Linked DNA regions of Astyanax mexicanus. The protein of the gene in region 2 purifies or fractionates together with the protein of the main gene of each other region. This does not show direct contact. Links are inferred from orthologs where the notes say so. Each region holds a gene or a part of one and is shown on either strand. Other genes may lie near its edges.

Region 1 (7,870 bases), on a different chromosome or scaffold from region 2:
AGGATTAAGCTTAATCAGGGTCAGAGAGGCTGACCTTTAGAGTATAAGAGCTTGTAAGAATATACCTTACTTTCACAACTGGCCTAAAGTTAGATTTGTGCCAAAATGAAAAGTGAATTATGCTGAAATATGGATGTTTTTTTATATTAATTGAAACACACAAAAATGAATTGAAAACTGTACACAGACACAGTACCAGTCAAGAGTTTGGACACAACTTAAATTTAGTGTTTTTTCATCATTTATTTAAAAAATAATCACACAAAAAATTGTTTACCAAACCTGGATATGTTTTATATTTTAGATTCTTCAAAGTAGCACCTCTTGCCTAGATGACAGCTTTGCACATCTTGACTGGATTTTCTTAATCAATTTTATGAGGTAGAGTCACCTGGAATTCAGGCTTTCAGTTAACAGCTGTGCTGAACTCATCAAGAGTTAATTACTTGAATTTCTTGTCTCTTAATAAAGTGTTTGAGAGCATCAGTTGTAAAGTAGTGAAGAGGTAGAGTTACAGGTATACAGTGAATAACTCTATTTGAGTAACATTCTAATCCAGATTATTAGAAGCAAGAACTACTCAACTACTTAAGTAAAGAAAAAAATACTTTTAGAAAAGAAGGTCAGTCAATCTGAAACAAAAAAAAAACGTTATACTGCAAGTTAACAGCTCCCCAGATAAGAGCACCTAAATGCTACACAGAGTATTTTGGTTTGTTTAACAGTTTTAAGTTACTACAAGATTCTATATGTGTTCTTTCATAGTTTGGATCACTTCAGTATTCATTTATAATATAGTAAAAAAAAATTAAAACAAAAACTTTGAAATATGAAGGTGTGTCCAAACCTTTGTCTGGTACAGTATATCGTCGCTGTCCAATAAAAAAAAACAAGCAGTATCTCCAAAACAGCAAATTTTCAGAAGAGAGAAAAAACCTTCCAAACTTTCAATGGAAGTCAATGTAAAAAGAGTTTATTTCAGGTCATTTTAAGTATTTCTATTGGTCCAGTGATCAAGACATTTTGGCACAGTGTAAGGCACAGTTTGACTGTACCTTACAAGACTGATTGTTTTTTGTTCATTGGACAGCAACAATATGTATGATGTCTCCCAACCTGAGGCCTTTATATTGGTGCCTTATTTAGTTTCCGTTCAGCTTGTTCAGATGTATTTCCTGAAACATTACATGCAGCATTTAATATATATATATATATATATATATATATGTAATAATAATTTAATACATACTAAGCTTGACAATTTTATCTATGTTCTATAACCCTGTGTCTGTGTTTGTGTGTAGTACTGTACTTATATAAGTGTTGGTAACTTTTCACTTTTCACTGCCAGGATTGACTCTGTCCAACTGGATGTGTTTTTGTATTGTATGCACTCATAACTCATAATACTGTAGTATTGAATAGCCATCAAATGTATCACATAATTTAATGTTAATAACTAAAGTGATCTGGACTGATTGCAGTATTTTATGTGGACTCATTTTCTTAAATGTCAATGAAAAGTATTGTATTATATTATATTGTTCATATAAGTTCATAACAGCTTTATCAGCTTTGCTGTTGAGTTGAGAGAGTTGAAGTCTGTTCAGTGATTGTGATAATAATAAACTATAACCACATTAACTCCTTTGTTCTGTTTTTGGGTATTAGGATTATTTATTGTAACAAATGAAATCTTTTTCCTAGGTTTAATCCAGACTCTTGGTTACGTAAGAGCAGCTGCTCTACCTGGATCAGAGCTCTTTTGGGCGGACTGATGGTTAAAGGGATTAATTCAAATCCACTTACCCTCATGTTTCTACCTTCGCTTTCTGTTTCAGGTTTGACCGTACAGTTAAATTCATAAGTATTTTTACAATATGTGTATTTTTTATTAATATAATTTATATATAGCCAATAACCCTACCCACTCATAAGGACTCCCCCATCACTAGTGATGCCCCAAAACACCAGGAGGGGGATGCCTCCTTCGATCCATGTGAAGTCAGACTCCGCCTCTTTTTAAACAGCTGATGATGCAGCATTACCGAGTAGCATCACAGCGCGTTTAGAGGAAAGCGCAGTGACGTGGTTCTGATACATCAGCTCACAGACGCCTTGTGCTGATCCACATCACCCTAGTAGTGATGAGGGGAAAGAGTGCCATCTACTGTTCCCACCCAAAGAGAGCAAGACCAATTGTGCTCTCTCAGGGCTCTGGCAGCTGATGGCAAGCTGCATGACTTGAAGTGTGTGTAATTTGAATGCAGACTTAATACAAATATTGTAGTAAAAGATTGAGGAGATTAATGTTAAATACATGCCAAAAATCATGGGATAGCAGTATTAATTATATGTGACATGTACATCCAAGTGTATAAATTGAAGTGTTATCTCAGGGCATGGTTTGGAAACAAAAGCCCAAACCCTTATAAGTTGTGAGGTGATATCTTGTGAGTGAGGTTGAATAAACAGGGGCTAACATGCTCATGGCAAGGCAATGATAATTATTGTAGTTCAAGGCAGATCCGATAATAGGTGCAGATGGATGGGGCATTTCACTTCCATAGTATAAAGATAAGAGCATTGAACATTCCTCAATCCACACTGTCAAACATGTACCAGGAATGTGCACTGTTATCCATATTCTTTTCTTATTCGACTCACCCTCAGTGTGTAGTGAGTCCCGCCACGATGCCTTAGATAAACGTGTAAATCTGGAGAAACATGTTTTTTTTTTACTAAAGGCATGAAGTGAAACACATATCCACCAAACATGTTTTGGTGGATATGATTAAAAATATAGTGCAACATTTGTGTAACTTTATTGTTAAGATATGTTTGCAAGACAATTTTAAAATTGTAGTAAAAAATAACAAAATTTTGCATCTTGCACGCATTTGCACTTCTACCCTGCGTTTTAAAGTTAAAGTAGCACATAATTTTCTAAAATGAGTAAATTTAAAAAATAAAAAATGATTTTTTTTTCAGGTTTAACTTAAAAAAACAAACAAAAATAACTGTATAACATTTACAAGAAAGTTTTTTTAAAGTGCAGGTTAACATTGCTCTTTATTGTAAGAATATGTACATTCAGACTAAATGTTGAAAAATATATTGTTACACAGAGTATAGATCGATACTTTATTTATTCCTGTAGGAATTTCATAAAAAGGAAATTAGGAATTAAGAGTTTGTATGAAATGTAAACCCATAGGTGGCAATTATCTACTTTCTCATGTACAATTCGGGAAACATGATTTCCTTTTTTTGTTTATAGAATAATTCTGCATGTGTTCCTGTATAGCTATAGCTTATATTCTGAATATTCAATTCTAGTTTTTTATTTGGAAAATGAAAATTTTCTGACAAGTTTTCTGATCATTTGTAGGCTGACGCTCCTGTGTGGTCACGTGGTCTCCGCCGTTATTTCATGCGGGAAGCAGCTCGTAGTGTTCGATTCAGTTAATCGAATCGGTTCTATTAAAGGGTTCATTTTATCGAATCGAAAGTGCCAATCAACAAGTCATTCAGTCACAAATCATATGAGCTTTTAATTTCGTGTAGAGATAGAAGAGATTTTCACACAGCATTAGCTCACTTTCTCTGTTCACTGCTTTCACTTACTAGTGAACTAGAGATTTGACTCTCACAGAGACAGAATCGATTCAGAATCGATTGTTTAAAGGTTAGTCTATCTATATATCTATCTATCTATCTATCTATCTATCTATCTATCTATCTATCTATCTATCTATCTATCTATCTAGTCTGATAAATGTATCTAAAGCGTGTCTATTACAAAGCAATAATTTATATTATTAAATTATGTATTAATCATTGCTTTTAAGATATAATAAAACAGATAATGAAACAACAACAACAACAATAATAATAATAATAATAATAATAATAATAATAATAATAATAATAATAATAATAATACATTTAAAGGGACCATCTGTAAGATTTGGGGATTTAGAGACCTCTCTGATGAGAGAATGTGTGGAAAAGTCCTTTAAATTCAGGTTACTGTAAATGTTGTGTAACCCTTTTTTTAAATTAAATATTTTTGTTCATTTATAAAATACTGTCAGACTGCAAGCAATTACAGCCTAAAAACAAACCAACCAGACCACTTGATTCTGTTTTTAGAATGATACCAACTAATTTGAATATTTTGTCCCAAATTTCACAAGGGACAGCTGCTTTAATGAATCAATGGACTTTTACAATCAATGGAAATTTTACACACTATTTCACACACTAACTGGGAAAAAATAGACTATAACTTGGATTGTTGCGTAGATTTTTCTATCCCAAATGTATCAACATTAATATAACATTAATATAACATTATAGTCATTATGGCTTTAAGAAAAAATGTGTTTTGGGAGGGGGTGGTGCACTATAGGATCCTGTGGTTTGGCCTAAGATTTTATCCTTAATAGCCTTATTTTTCCCTTTACTTTTTTTATTACTTTTACTTTTATACATTAAGTAGTTTTGAAACCAGTACATTTACTTTTGAGTAAAAAGCTTGAGCTGATTTCAACTTAAAATTCTACAGAAGTTTTTTAAACACTAGTATCTATAATTTTATCTGAGTAACGAATGTGAATTTTCACACCTTGTTGCGTATCGGTTCGCACAATGTGTTCACAAGAAACGATTCGAATGAACCGATTCGCGCACGATCCGGGCCTCGCTCGCTGTTTGCTCGCGCTGGCTCCGCCGCCGCCTGCCTGCAGTCTCGAATCGCACAGCGGGCGTAGCGGAGCGTCACTGAAGTGGAGTGATTTTCGCTGCAACTTTTTGTTGTTTTTACTCACTTTTATCGCACCAGAAGAGCTTTTTCTAGTGCGGACGGCTCGTGCTGGGTGTTGTGAGACACCGAAACTCGTCGTTTCTGCTGTTTGGAGAGTCGTGGCTGTGCTGCGGGGAGTGTATGTGTGAGTGCGGGTGTGAGTGAAGGCAGCTCGGTTCAACAATGGCGACGGCGGCTGCGGTGTCTGGTCCTGCCGGCGGAGGCGGCACTAACCCCGGCTCTGGGGCCGAGCTTGTCCGCGGGCAGGCCTTCGACGTGGGGCCACGATACACCAACCTCTCCTATATTGGGGAGGGCGCTTATGGCATGGTCTGGTAAGTTTTTTTCACCTTAATACTCATTTTTATATTATATTTAGCCCTCGAACACACAAACAAATAACTTACATACACAGTTACATAGCTACTTTTTCTTTCATTTTAAATTGATTAAATATAGTTTAATAAGCAAAATCCATCAGTGTAACATTTAGCAGTTTATTTTTCTGACTGTATCAAGCTTAAATCGCAAATTCAAAAAATAGGGTATAAAACTTTATACTTTTTCCATTTACTATAGTGAAGATGAAATGGTAATTCATTCAGTTATTAAGTTTTTCATATCTGCCTTTCGCGAACAGAATTTCAAGAAAAATGAAAAGTTTTCTACTTTTGATTTTCAGATTTGTCTATTTTTGTGTCTTGTATCACATATCCGATGTTATAATCCACTTGCAAAATGCAAAAATCTAAAAATCAGAAAAATTTCCTGTAATTCCGATTGTAAGGGAAAGTGATGAAAAAACTAAAACTTGAAAAATGGATAAAACTTATTTCTTGAGCACTGAACTACATAAAAAAATATGTTTTTACATTCAATTTTCTAATTTTGAATTTAGCCTCAAACGGTCAGAAAATTAAACTGCTAAATGTTATAATGACCAAAAACCTGCCCTACATTTATTTAATCAGTGCAGTGTTTAAAGGAGAAATCTTGTGTGAAATGGACTTGGTTTGTAGTGAAACTTGAAAACATGAAAAGTACAAACTTTTGTTGAATAGCCCTCTTTCTCACTTTTAGCTGATGCTCCCAACTAACAGGCTTACTGGCTTACACTGCTGTACAGTGAGGGGGCATATAGTAGGCCATGCAAACAAATTAAAATCATAATTACCAACATTACAAAGCTCAAAGTAGCTCTACATTTCATTGGGAGAATTTCAAGCGTCCTAACAGTTAAAAATAGTCAAAAAATGAGGCTTTAAAAATGCACATTTAGTTTATTAAAAAGACTTTTTATTATACACATAGTACCTTCAGGTACTTCTCTGGGTGCTGGCATCTTGAAATCAAGAAGTGATAAGTCGACTGATGAGCATGAATCGGTAGGATAGGGTGACAGATTGCAAAATTAATTCTGTGCTATTTTTTCAATATTATAGAGATATTCATGCATTTCCACATGCATGTTGATTTTGCATTCTTGCATAGGCAACTCTGTGCCCCTATCACTAGCATTGTAAGCCTGTTGGGAGCATCGGCTAAAAGTGCTTTATTTCAGAATGATGGTGGTGAATGGAGGTGGAATATTTAACAAAAGTTTCTATTTATTATCAAGGATCACTACAAATCAAATTTATTTCACACAAGATTTCTCCTTAAAGATTTGTTTAAGCACTGCTAACTAGCACTAGCTACTAGTGCAACTGGATTATTATTAGTACCAGCAGCATTGTCCTTACAAGTTGGTAGAGTGTGAAAGAAAATAAAAAAAAGATAAAATAAGGACAAAAACTAAAACAGTTTCTCTTGATAATTCACTCCCTATCCTATATATATATATATATTGTTCTGAGTGGTTGCATTACAAACCCTGGATGTAGGATAGGGAGTGAATTTTTTTTATATTTATTTTATTTTATTTTTTTATATATGATATATATATATATATATATATATATATATATATATATATATATATATATATAGCATATGATTTGTCATATTTCAGTTGATTTTTTTTTAAGGATTTTGATGTTTAATTGTCAGTTAAAACATTTGAGAAGCAACCACTTCTTTAGCATGATTGCAGTTTTGTCTAACTGCATATTGTTTCCATGATTCAACAAATTAAAAAGCACTAAGAAAATAGCCAAAATAGGCTTAACAGCCAAATATTCATCTTTATATGTAATAAAATGAAGGGACTGTGCAATAACAAAAACACTTATTTTCAAGAAACATTGTCTTATATACTAAACAAATTAGCAATTTACCTTACCGATTCACTCTTCTGTACCTCTAGGTTTTACAATTTTAGATCATATAACTCATTACATGTCCTTAGCCTATACAATATAGGCCTGCCAAGTAATTTTGTGGACAATATATCATCACATAAATTATTGCGAAATTAAATTATTGCATAATAAATGCCACTGACACAATGATAATAGCATATAACAGAATAACAAAGGAATTATATCCTTTTTATAAAAAACACAAATTTTAATTAATCATAATTATGGTGAAATATGTACTTTTTCATTCATCCAGTTATTAAAGTGTTGGTAACTACATGACAAACAAACAAACATACAAATACAAACACAATAGACAATAGACACAGTGGGTAATGTCCATTTATTGCACGATAAGTCAGTAATGTAATGTATACATATAGTACATGTGCACGTAAATTGAAATAATGCCTATAAGACTAGCTGTGTATTCTGTTGTTTCCACTTTTTAACAAATATGAACAAATTTGCAACATTTAATATTAAACTGTTGTACTTGTATTTTAATACACTCCTTTATAGTGCTGTTGAATGGCTTGAACAGGCTCTGATTGAAACTGGGACATGGCAGGGTGGCATAACTTCGAATAATGAAATGGGTCAGGTATACTTGGTCAACTTGACCTAACCCAGGCTGAAAGCATGTAGCACCAGCTCCTGAGTTACTGAGTGGTGTGACTGATATCAGCCTGCATCCAAACAACACTGTTTATGCACTAATATGGACTAATTTTAGGATTGGATGGACTGTATTTTCAAAAGC
Region 2 (7,999 bases):
TACCAATTTTATTTGCTTTTGCCTTTGGGAATTGGTTTAAAGGTACCCTTAAGAAGGGAAAACATTCTACTAGTGTTTTGTGGGTCAAGCAAGCAGGAAGGCTAAAAAGGCTAAAGTCTGCTGCTAATTCTCAAGTTCTTGAGGTAAAGAAAAGCTTGAGGCACTTCTGAATTGCCGTGGTTGCTGCGCCGTGATGGTTGAAAAAAATAAGACAGGGCTTGGGATTGGTCAATGGACTATAAATAATTCACACATGCAGATATGATTGGAATAAAATATTGATTTTGGCTGTCAGTAAACATTAAAACCCTCTGATTGCTAATAGAACCTGTTAGCTTAGCTAAATACCCAAATTGACTAAAGTAAGGAGTTAATATAGTCCAGTTAGTTCTCCTCATCCACTAAGACTGACATTAAATGTATGTAAATTGTAGCATTATGCTGTTATTTCATATACACTGTCCTATAACTTGTAGAGGTAAGCAAATATGTATCTTACAGGTCCAATTAGCAAGGACAAAAGAACCATATACAGCTCTGAAAAAAAAAGAAAAAGAGACCACTACAGTTTCTGAATCAGTTCCTCAGTTCTGGGACATCCAGTTCTGAAGTTTTACAAGTTCAGAAATCAATTTTTGGTGGAAAAATTCTGTTTTTTAATCACAGTTTTCATGCATCTTGGCATGTTCTCCTCCACCAGTCTTACACACTGCTTTTGGATAACTTTATGCCACTCCTGGTGCAAAAAAAATCCAGCAGTTCAGTTTGGTTTGTTGGCTTGTGAACATCCATCTTCCTCTTGATTTTTTTCCAGAGGTTCACAATTTGGTAAAATCAAAGAAACCCATAATTTTTAAGTGGTCGCTTATTTTTTCCAGAGCTGTACATACTATGCTAACTACACTATATACTATAATACATTAATTAAGAGTTTGTTGCAGTAATTATCTCCACTGCCCAGGGAGGGTTTCTATTAGATTTTGTAACATTGTTGTGAGGATTTCATTGCATTAAGCGACAAGAACCGTAATCCATCCATCCATCCATCCATCCATTGTCAGTACAATCTTTATCCATCAGAGTCGGACATGGGGGCATCGCAGGAGAACGTTAATCATCATCACAAATTATGCATACTGGATTTGTGCTTATCTTAGGTTAAATGAATTCATTTTTTCCCAGTCCTGTCCATTTCTTTTACAAAGCAATAAGAAAATTAGCTTACTGAGTTTAACATGTTGGCATATTCATTTTCAGTTATAACTGAATCATAAAACTCCTTGTTACCTCATGAAGAACATTTTTTTGGTTCTACAACAAAACACAGCCTACCTCCATGTCTGTCACCTATGACGCATTCCCATACCTGTGAGTCGGCCTGTGTCTGAGGCCCAGCTTCTTCTGTCTCTCTCCTTGTTAATAATCCCTCAGAATAGATCAGGTGTGATCTCAGCCTGTAGGAAGTGTTGCAGTTTTGACAGCATATGAATTTCCTCAGCTAAGGCTTTGTATAACGAGGCAATTTACACTTTCTGGAGGAGTGTAAGAGAGGAATAAAAAAAAAATGACTAATGCTAACCATGATGTACAAATATACATCCACTGGCCACTTTATAGGAAAACGATAATGTATGTGGAGCATTTCAAGCTATGGAGCAAGTATGAAGGTTAGGATACAACGACAGTCTTCTGAGTTAAAAAACAAAACAATTTTGTACATCTCCCGGTACAAGACATTAATTTGGTTAAAAAAATTAGTTTTTCTAGCCTAGCATAGCATATCTTCGAATGTGATAGGAACAATATTAGGAGCCTATTTATTTTTAAATTGTTTTTATAGTCTTTCTCAGTACTTAGACAAGTACTTAGACTTGAGGGCTTGAGATTGGTCTCTTCAATTTCTCCAGTTCTGGGACATCCAGTTCTGAATTCTCTGATTTTGCTATTTATAGGTATATATTTGAGTAAAATGAACATTATTGTTTTATTTTTTAAACTACAGACAACATTTTTTCCAAATTCCAATGTATATATATATATATATATATATATATATATATATTAAAAATATTGGCTGAAATAACAAAAAAGATGCAGAGCATGTGACAGGAACAATATCAGGAGGGTATTTATTTTTTAACCGTTGCACAGTCTTACTCAGTAGAGTTGCTGTCTGTTTTAGTCTGAATCTTTTGTGATTAGCTAGATGAAGAGACTGTACCCTGGGCAATAACAGCAAATGAAAAAATTAAAATATGCTAATAAAAATAAGATAGAAAATGTGCTGTTTTGAAACAAATAGAGATGAGTGGATCTACACAGCATAGCCAGAAAAGGTCTTCACTTTTGAGAGATGTTGTGACGTTGTGTATGTTTTTTTTACAATCACCATTTTTTGTAAGTATTAGCTTTTAGCATTTTTTAATTTGTTTCTATATTTTTCTTAAGTAGCTTTTGTTTTTAAAGGCCTTCTCTAATAGATTATAGTCTCAGTGAATCCTACTCATGTCACGTCCTTGTCCTGTCTCATGTCAGCCTCCATGTTTTTACCCCTCCTTTGTTTGTTGCCTAGCTGTCAGTGTCTCTTCTTGTCTTCTTGCCTGTGTTCATTTGTAGCTCTGCCCCTCTTTACCTGTCCCCAGGTGTTTCCTGTTCCCTCCATGTGTATTTAAGCCCCTGTGTTTTAAGTGTTAGGATGGCTGGTCTTGTGCCTGTTCTAGGTCAGTCAGGTTGCTGTTTTTTGTTTTATGTTTTGTTAGTATATTCAGTGTTAATTTTAGTAGTCCTGTCTGTTCTTGTATCTTGTTTTGGTTTATTTATTTGGTTTTCTTGTAAATAAATTACCATGCATTTACTTCCGCCTCCCGTCCTCCCTGCTGCATTTGCTGACCATTCATTTCAATTGAGAGAGATGCTGCATGCCGTGGTGCATGCTGAGTTGAAAAATGCTAGTGGATACGTACCATAAGTATCGTAATATAACATGTTCTACAGATCTGTTTTACTTATGTGGGTTTTGCTGTTGAATGAAGAGACAACAGTGTTTGAGCTTGATGGTTTGTACTTTAATTCGAACTCTAATTATTCAATTATGGTAAGAAAATACAGTTTACATTTCAAAAGTAGATGTCTGTTATTTTATTACATTTTTACATTTTGTTTTGCAAATATTAAAGCACTAATCTTTTTTCAATAATAAGTTTAGTTGTCATGAAAAGCTTAAGTTAAATAAATGAAAATTGTTAAATGGGCACTTTACTTCCTATGGTATCTTGGTACATTAAATACTGCCAAGTAAGATCCCATCAGTTAGGGGTTTATAAATAGAACTGAAGAATCCTCAGATTAACCAAAAGACTATTAGTAATTAGTAAAGACTAATATCAAAAGAGGAATTAAACAATTAAGCTTTTATATTAATTATTGCATTTGCATTTTGCATATTGCTTTGTTAAATCATATGACTTCTATAAGCAAATGTAATAATAAGATTACATTATGCATTTAATATAATAATAATACTAATAATAATAATAATAATAAAATGATAGTGTAGCTAGTAACACATTAGGATCAACTGAACATAAGGAGACTGTGGGTGCAGGGTGGTTGGAAAGTGTTTGTGAGTGAGCGTGTGTGTATGTGTGGGGTGTGTGTTTAGTGAATGAATGTGCCCTCAGATTACAGATTGCTGTAAAAGATTAGCTGTTCCTGCCTGGCTGTTTAATTCTCACTCTAATCCCACAGCTCAGCATTTCCTCCCCAAACAGTCAGATTGTCACTCTGTTGACCACCGGGTTCAAACTTGTATGTGTCTCATGTATGTGTGTACGTGCAGACAGAAGGGCAGCAGGTGTTTACTAAATAGTGGGACTTTATCAGTGAGGGTGTGGGTGAGCAGTTCTACTGTCTGGTTCTGTGTTTATCAGTGTGTTTGCAGATCAGATTAGACTGATTCAAAAAAGGGGACATATTATACCTCTTTTTACACTAGTTAAAATAGGTCTATGGGCTATAGATCGCATGTTCATGAAGTTGAACAAAATCACTCTCACATAAGGAGATAATACCAGCTCTATTTTTGACAGTTTCAGTGCCTTTCCGAATGAGCTGTTTAAGGGATCTGTCACTAGTTCATGCTTAATTGCGATAGAAGCACAAAAAACTCTTTTTTAAAAGTACTTACATCTTTCTCATCTGTTGACTTGCCATGGACCCACCCTGACTTGCCAAAGATCCCTCCTTCAGACGAAGTCTACTGACTAATCCTGCTGTGTACTGTCTTAGGTTCTCAATCATCAGACTAAAATGGTGTTTCTTCAACTAATCTAGTGGGTGGGTCTCTGGTGGGTCTAATCAGGTCTCCTTATTGTGACGTCACAATAAGGGAGCCAAGCAAATGGCTCATAGAAGCATATGATTCCTGACACAAACTCTTTCAACTGACTTAGAAAACGAAAAAAATGATTTTCTTTTTTGGAAATACAAAAGCATGCAAAAAGTGAGTTTTGTGTAATATACCATTAGTTTAGTCTGTGTGTTCTTCATCACAGCATCCTTACCATGACCAGCCAACCTGTTGCTACACCTGCATGGAAAATATACTGGAGGTGTATTGCTCACACATACACACACTCACCCACAAACATATACACACAGTGGCATTGTCACAGAGTATCATCAAACAGAGTGATTCAAAAGCAATCCTCTGCTCTGCTCCTCTGATGTGTGTGTGTATATAATATATATATATATATATATATATATATATATATATATATATGTGTGTGTGTGTGTGTGTGTGTGTGTGTGTGCGCGCGTGTACGTGTGTGTACGTGTGCATGTGCATGTGACCTTATTAACAGAATAATCCAGAAGGAAATTGCACAGAGAGAAAGAAACAGAAGTTAGGCAAAAAGGGAAATAAAAGGACAAAGAGAGAGGCAAAAAAGATATACAGCTCTGGAAAAAAAAGCGACCACTAAAAAATTATGAGTTTCTTTGATTTTACCGAATTGAAAACCTCTGGAATATAATTAAGAGGAAGATGGATGATCACAAGCCATCAAACCAAGCTGAACTGCTTGGAATGGCATAAAGTGGGATAAAGTTATCCAAAAGCAGTGTGTAAGACTGATGGATGGATGGATGGAAAATAATGGCCTACGCAAACAATAAAAGAGGAGTGAGGGTAGGATTGCAAAAAAGGGTGATAGATAGAGACTGAGAGAGGAAGAAGACAGACAGACAGACAGATAGATAGATAGATAGATAGATAGATAGATAGATAGATAGATAGATAGATAGATAGATAGATAGATAGATGGCAGAGAAGATGACAGAGAAGATGGAGAGAAAGACAGAGGTGTGAAGGCAAAAGGAGAGAGAGAGAGAAGGGGAGAGAGAGAAGGGGAGAGAGAAATGGCAGGGCTAAAAAAGTGAGAGACAGAGACAGGGTGATTAAAAGGGAGAGAGTTGGTGTGTGTGTTGATGTGTGTATCCCCGGTCTGTCGAGCGCCTGGGGGAAACCGGAGGGGCGTGCGCGTCACTATTCCATATATGGCAGTACCGGTGTGAGACTGAGTGCCCATATATGGAGTTCCCGCCTGTGACCGGTGGAAAATGGGCGGGGCTTTGGAAGCAGGCGCTTCAAAAGAGCTTCAGCACCACAACAACAGAGAAAACACAGGAGCAGAGACTAAACACCCCACACACACTCAGTTCTACAGCTCTCACACACTTCTACAGCACGCAGGGGGGCTTCAGACACTCATATGGACATTTACAGAATTTACTGAAGCTTGTTTTTAACTTTTTTTAAACCTTTTTTTTGCTTTCTGCGAAGAATAATAAAAACAGCAGATAAAGATGTCGAGCAGCTGCTGACAGACAGTGTGGAGGTCGCCGGGTCACACACACATAAACACACTCTTTTTCACACACACTGTACACTGGGACAACAGGGCTAATGCCTGTGGAAATCACTAGCTGCGAGCTCGCGCAGATGGTGCGCACCCACTGCGCGCTCCCGCTGCTGCTGGACTGCAGGCCGTTCCTGGCCTTCTGCGGCGCGCGCCTGGCCTTCTCTCACAGCGTCAACTGGAACTCAGTGCTGATGCGCAGGGAGCGCGCGCGGATGGGCCTGGCGAGCGCGCGCCCCCTGGAGCGGCTGGTGGCAGACCGCGCGCTGCTGAGACAGCTGCGCGCCGGTGAGTGCGCGCGCGTGGTGGTGCTGGACGAGGCGAGCCGCTCGGTGCGCGAGCTGCGCAGAGAGAGCGTGGCCGGGCTGCTGCTGCGCGCGCTGCAGGAGGAGCTGCGGGAGGAGGGCACGGAGGTCTGCTTCCTGCAAGGTAAACAACACACCACCACCTAACCAACACATTCACACTAACAGAGACATGAAATAGGTCAAATCATTAAACCCTGCACATTGAGTTAAAGGGGAAGTTCATACAATTTACAAGTTATAGAAAATTCACTCATTATTATGATACCAAAGCGACCGTACTGCAGAAAATGTTCTGCTGTTAAAGTGTTCATTTTAGAGAAAGTTACATGTTTGTTTGGAATGATGGAGAACAGAATCAGATGTCTCCATTTTAGTGCTAATATAACCATTAATTTATTACTTACAATAACTATTTATTAAACTGTAGTTTTGTAATAGCGTTTTATGTGTATACACTAAATACACCTGGGCTATTTAAATCATTTACTGATGAGAAATGACAAAAATGACAAAAATAAAACTTTGTACAGTATTTGTCCTTTAATTTAGTTTGAGCCAAATATTTAAACTTCTGTGCATCCCTGTGAACTATAAAAATACAAAGCAATTTAATTAAAAATGTTAATAAATTCAAATTTGTAAATGTTAAAACATTATCAAGCCATTTTCCACTTTTTGACACCCTTTGGATCTGGGATTTTTTCTTTATATTGTGTCAGAATTTTATAAACAATGATAAATTTGATGAATTCTCCTAAATGACTTTTCTATTATTAAGAAAAAAAATAAGAAAAAATGTTTTGTGGGAGTAACTATATAAATTTCTATTATATGTATTTTTAGAAATATTTATTTTATTCAAGATTTTCTATAGTTCTACCAGATCTCATTTGGACTTCCACAGTTCCCCTGAACTGCCACTTCATAATAACAAGCTGCACTGTAGATGTTTTGAGATACAAGGTTTCCATGTGAAACTGACAATGTTATGGTTATGCAAATATATGGTTATTGAATATGATTTTTTTTTTATCACTCTGTAGTACTCCTTTTTTTGAATAGAAAAAAATATCTGCCAGATAATACACTGATCCTTAATGTAACATTTAAAATACTTTGTTTGCTAAATGTACATTTAAATGTAGTTTACATATTACTTTTGTACACCATACATGTAAAATATGATTTGGTCTCACTGTGAGTTCATTTACTGATGAATACTCTGTGTGTACATGTGTTTCAGGTGGATTTGAAGAATTTGTATCGTTGTATCCTGAGCTGTGTTTAAACACTCCACTTAAGTGTGGGAGCCCCTCGACACTGAGTGACCCAGAAACCCTCAACTCCACCAAGAGCATGCCTCTGTATGACCAGGTAATTATCAATATAACACAAATATAAGGAATACAGAAACTAACACAACTGGGATCCGAAGTCCCAGAATGTAAGAAACTGATTTCAGATTCTTTTAGTGTAAGTGAACTCAATGTGAGTGTGTGTTTTGCTTTGGCAGGGAGACCCTGTGGAGATCCTGCCCTTTCTCTTCCTGGGCAGCGCTCACCACTCGTCCCAGAGAGACACACTGGAGCGCTGCGGCATCACGGCTGTCCTCAACGTCTCCTCATCCTGTCCCAATCTGTTCGAGCAGGAGCTGCAGTACATGACACTGAAGGTGGAGGACAGCCTGGCCGCAGATATACGGGTGTTCTTCCCTGAGGCTATTCGCTTTATCGGTGAGCATCCCAGTTTATTTACTTTTTTGAACAAAGT

Evidence for each region. Proteins that work in one complex are often made in the same cells at the same time.
Region 1: the proteins of dusp2 (region 2) and mapk1 purify together in Homo sapiens (affinity purification with mass spectrometry; 4 studies listed by BioGRID and IntAct, with this or other methods). This does not show direct contact. The link is inferred for Astyanax mexicanus from reciprocal best matches to the Homo sapiens genes DUSP2 and MAPK1.

Annotation. Positions count from the first base shown.
Region 1 is NC_064429.1:30,991,208-30,999,077, forward strand, and holds the start of mapk1 (mitogen-activated protein kinase 1), read left to right. Parts: upstream 1-4,740; 5' UTR 4,741-4,990; coding exon 4,991-5,142; intron 5,143-7,870. UniProt on the Homo sapiens protein: Serine/threonine kinase which acts as an essential component of the MAP kinase signal transduction pathway. MAPK1/ERK2 and MAPK3/ERK1 are the 2 MAPKs which play an important role in the MAPK/ERK cascade.
Region 2 is NC_064419.1:28,769,401-28,777,399, reverse strand, and holds the start of dusp2 (dual specificity protein phosphatase 2), read left to right. Parts: upstream 1-4,981; 5' UTR 4,982-5,968; coding exon 5,969-6,350; intron 6,351-7,472; coding exon 7,473-7,603; intron 7,604-7,742; coding exon 7,743-7,962; intron 7,963-7,999. UniProt on the Homo sapiens protein: Dephosphorylates both phosphorylated Thr and Tyr residues in MAPK1, and dephosphorylation of phosphotyrosine is slightly faster than that of phosphothreonine. Can dephosphorylate MAPK1.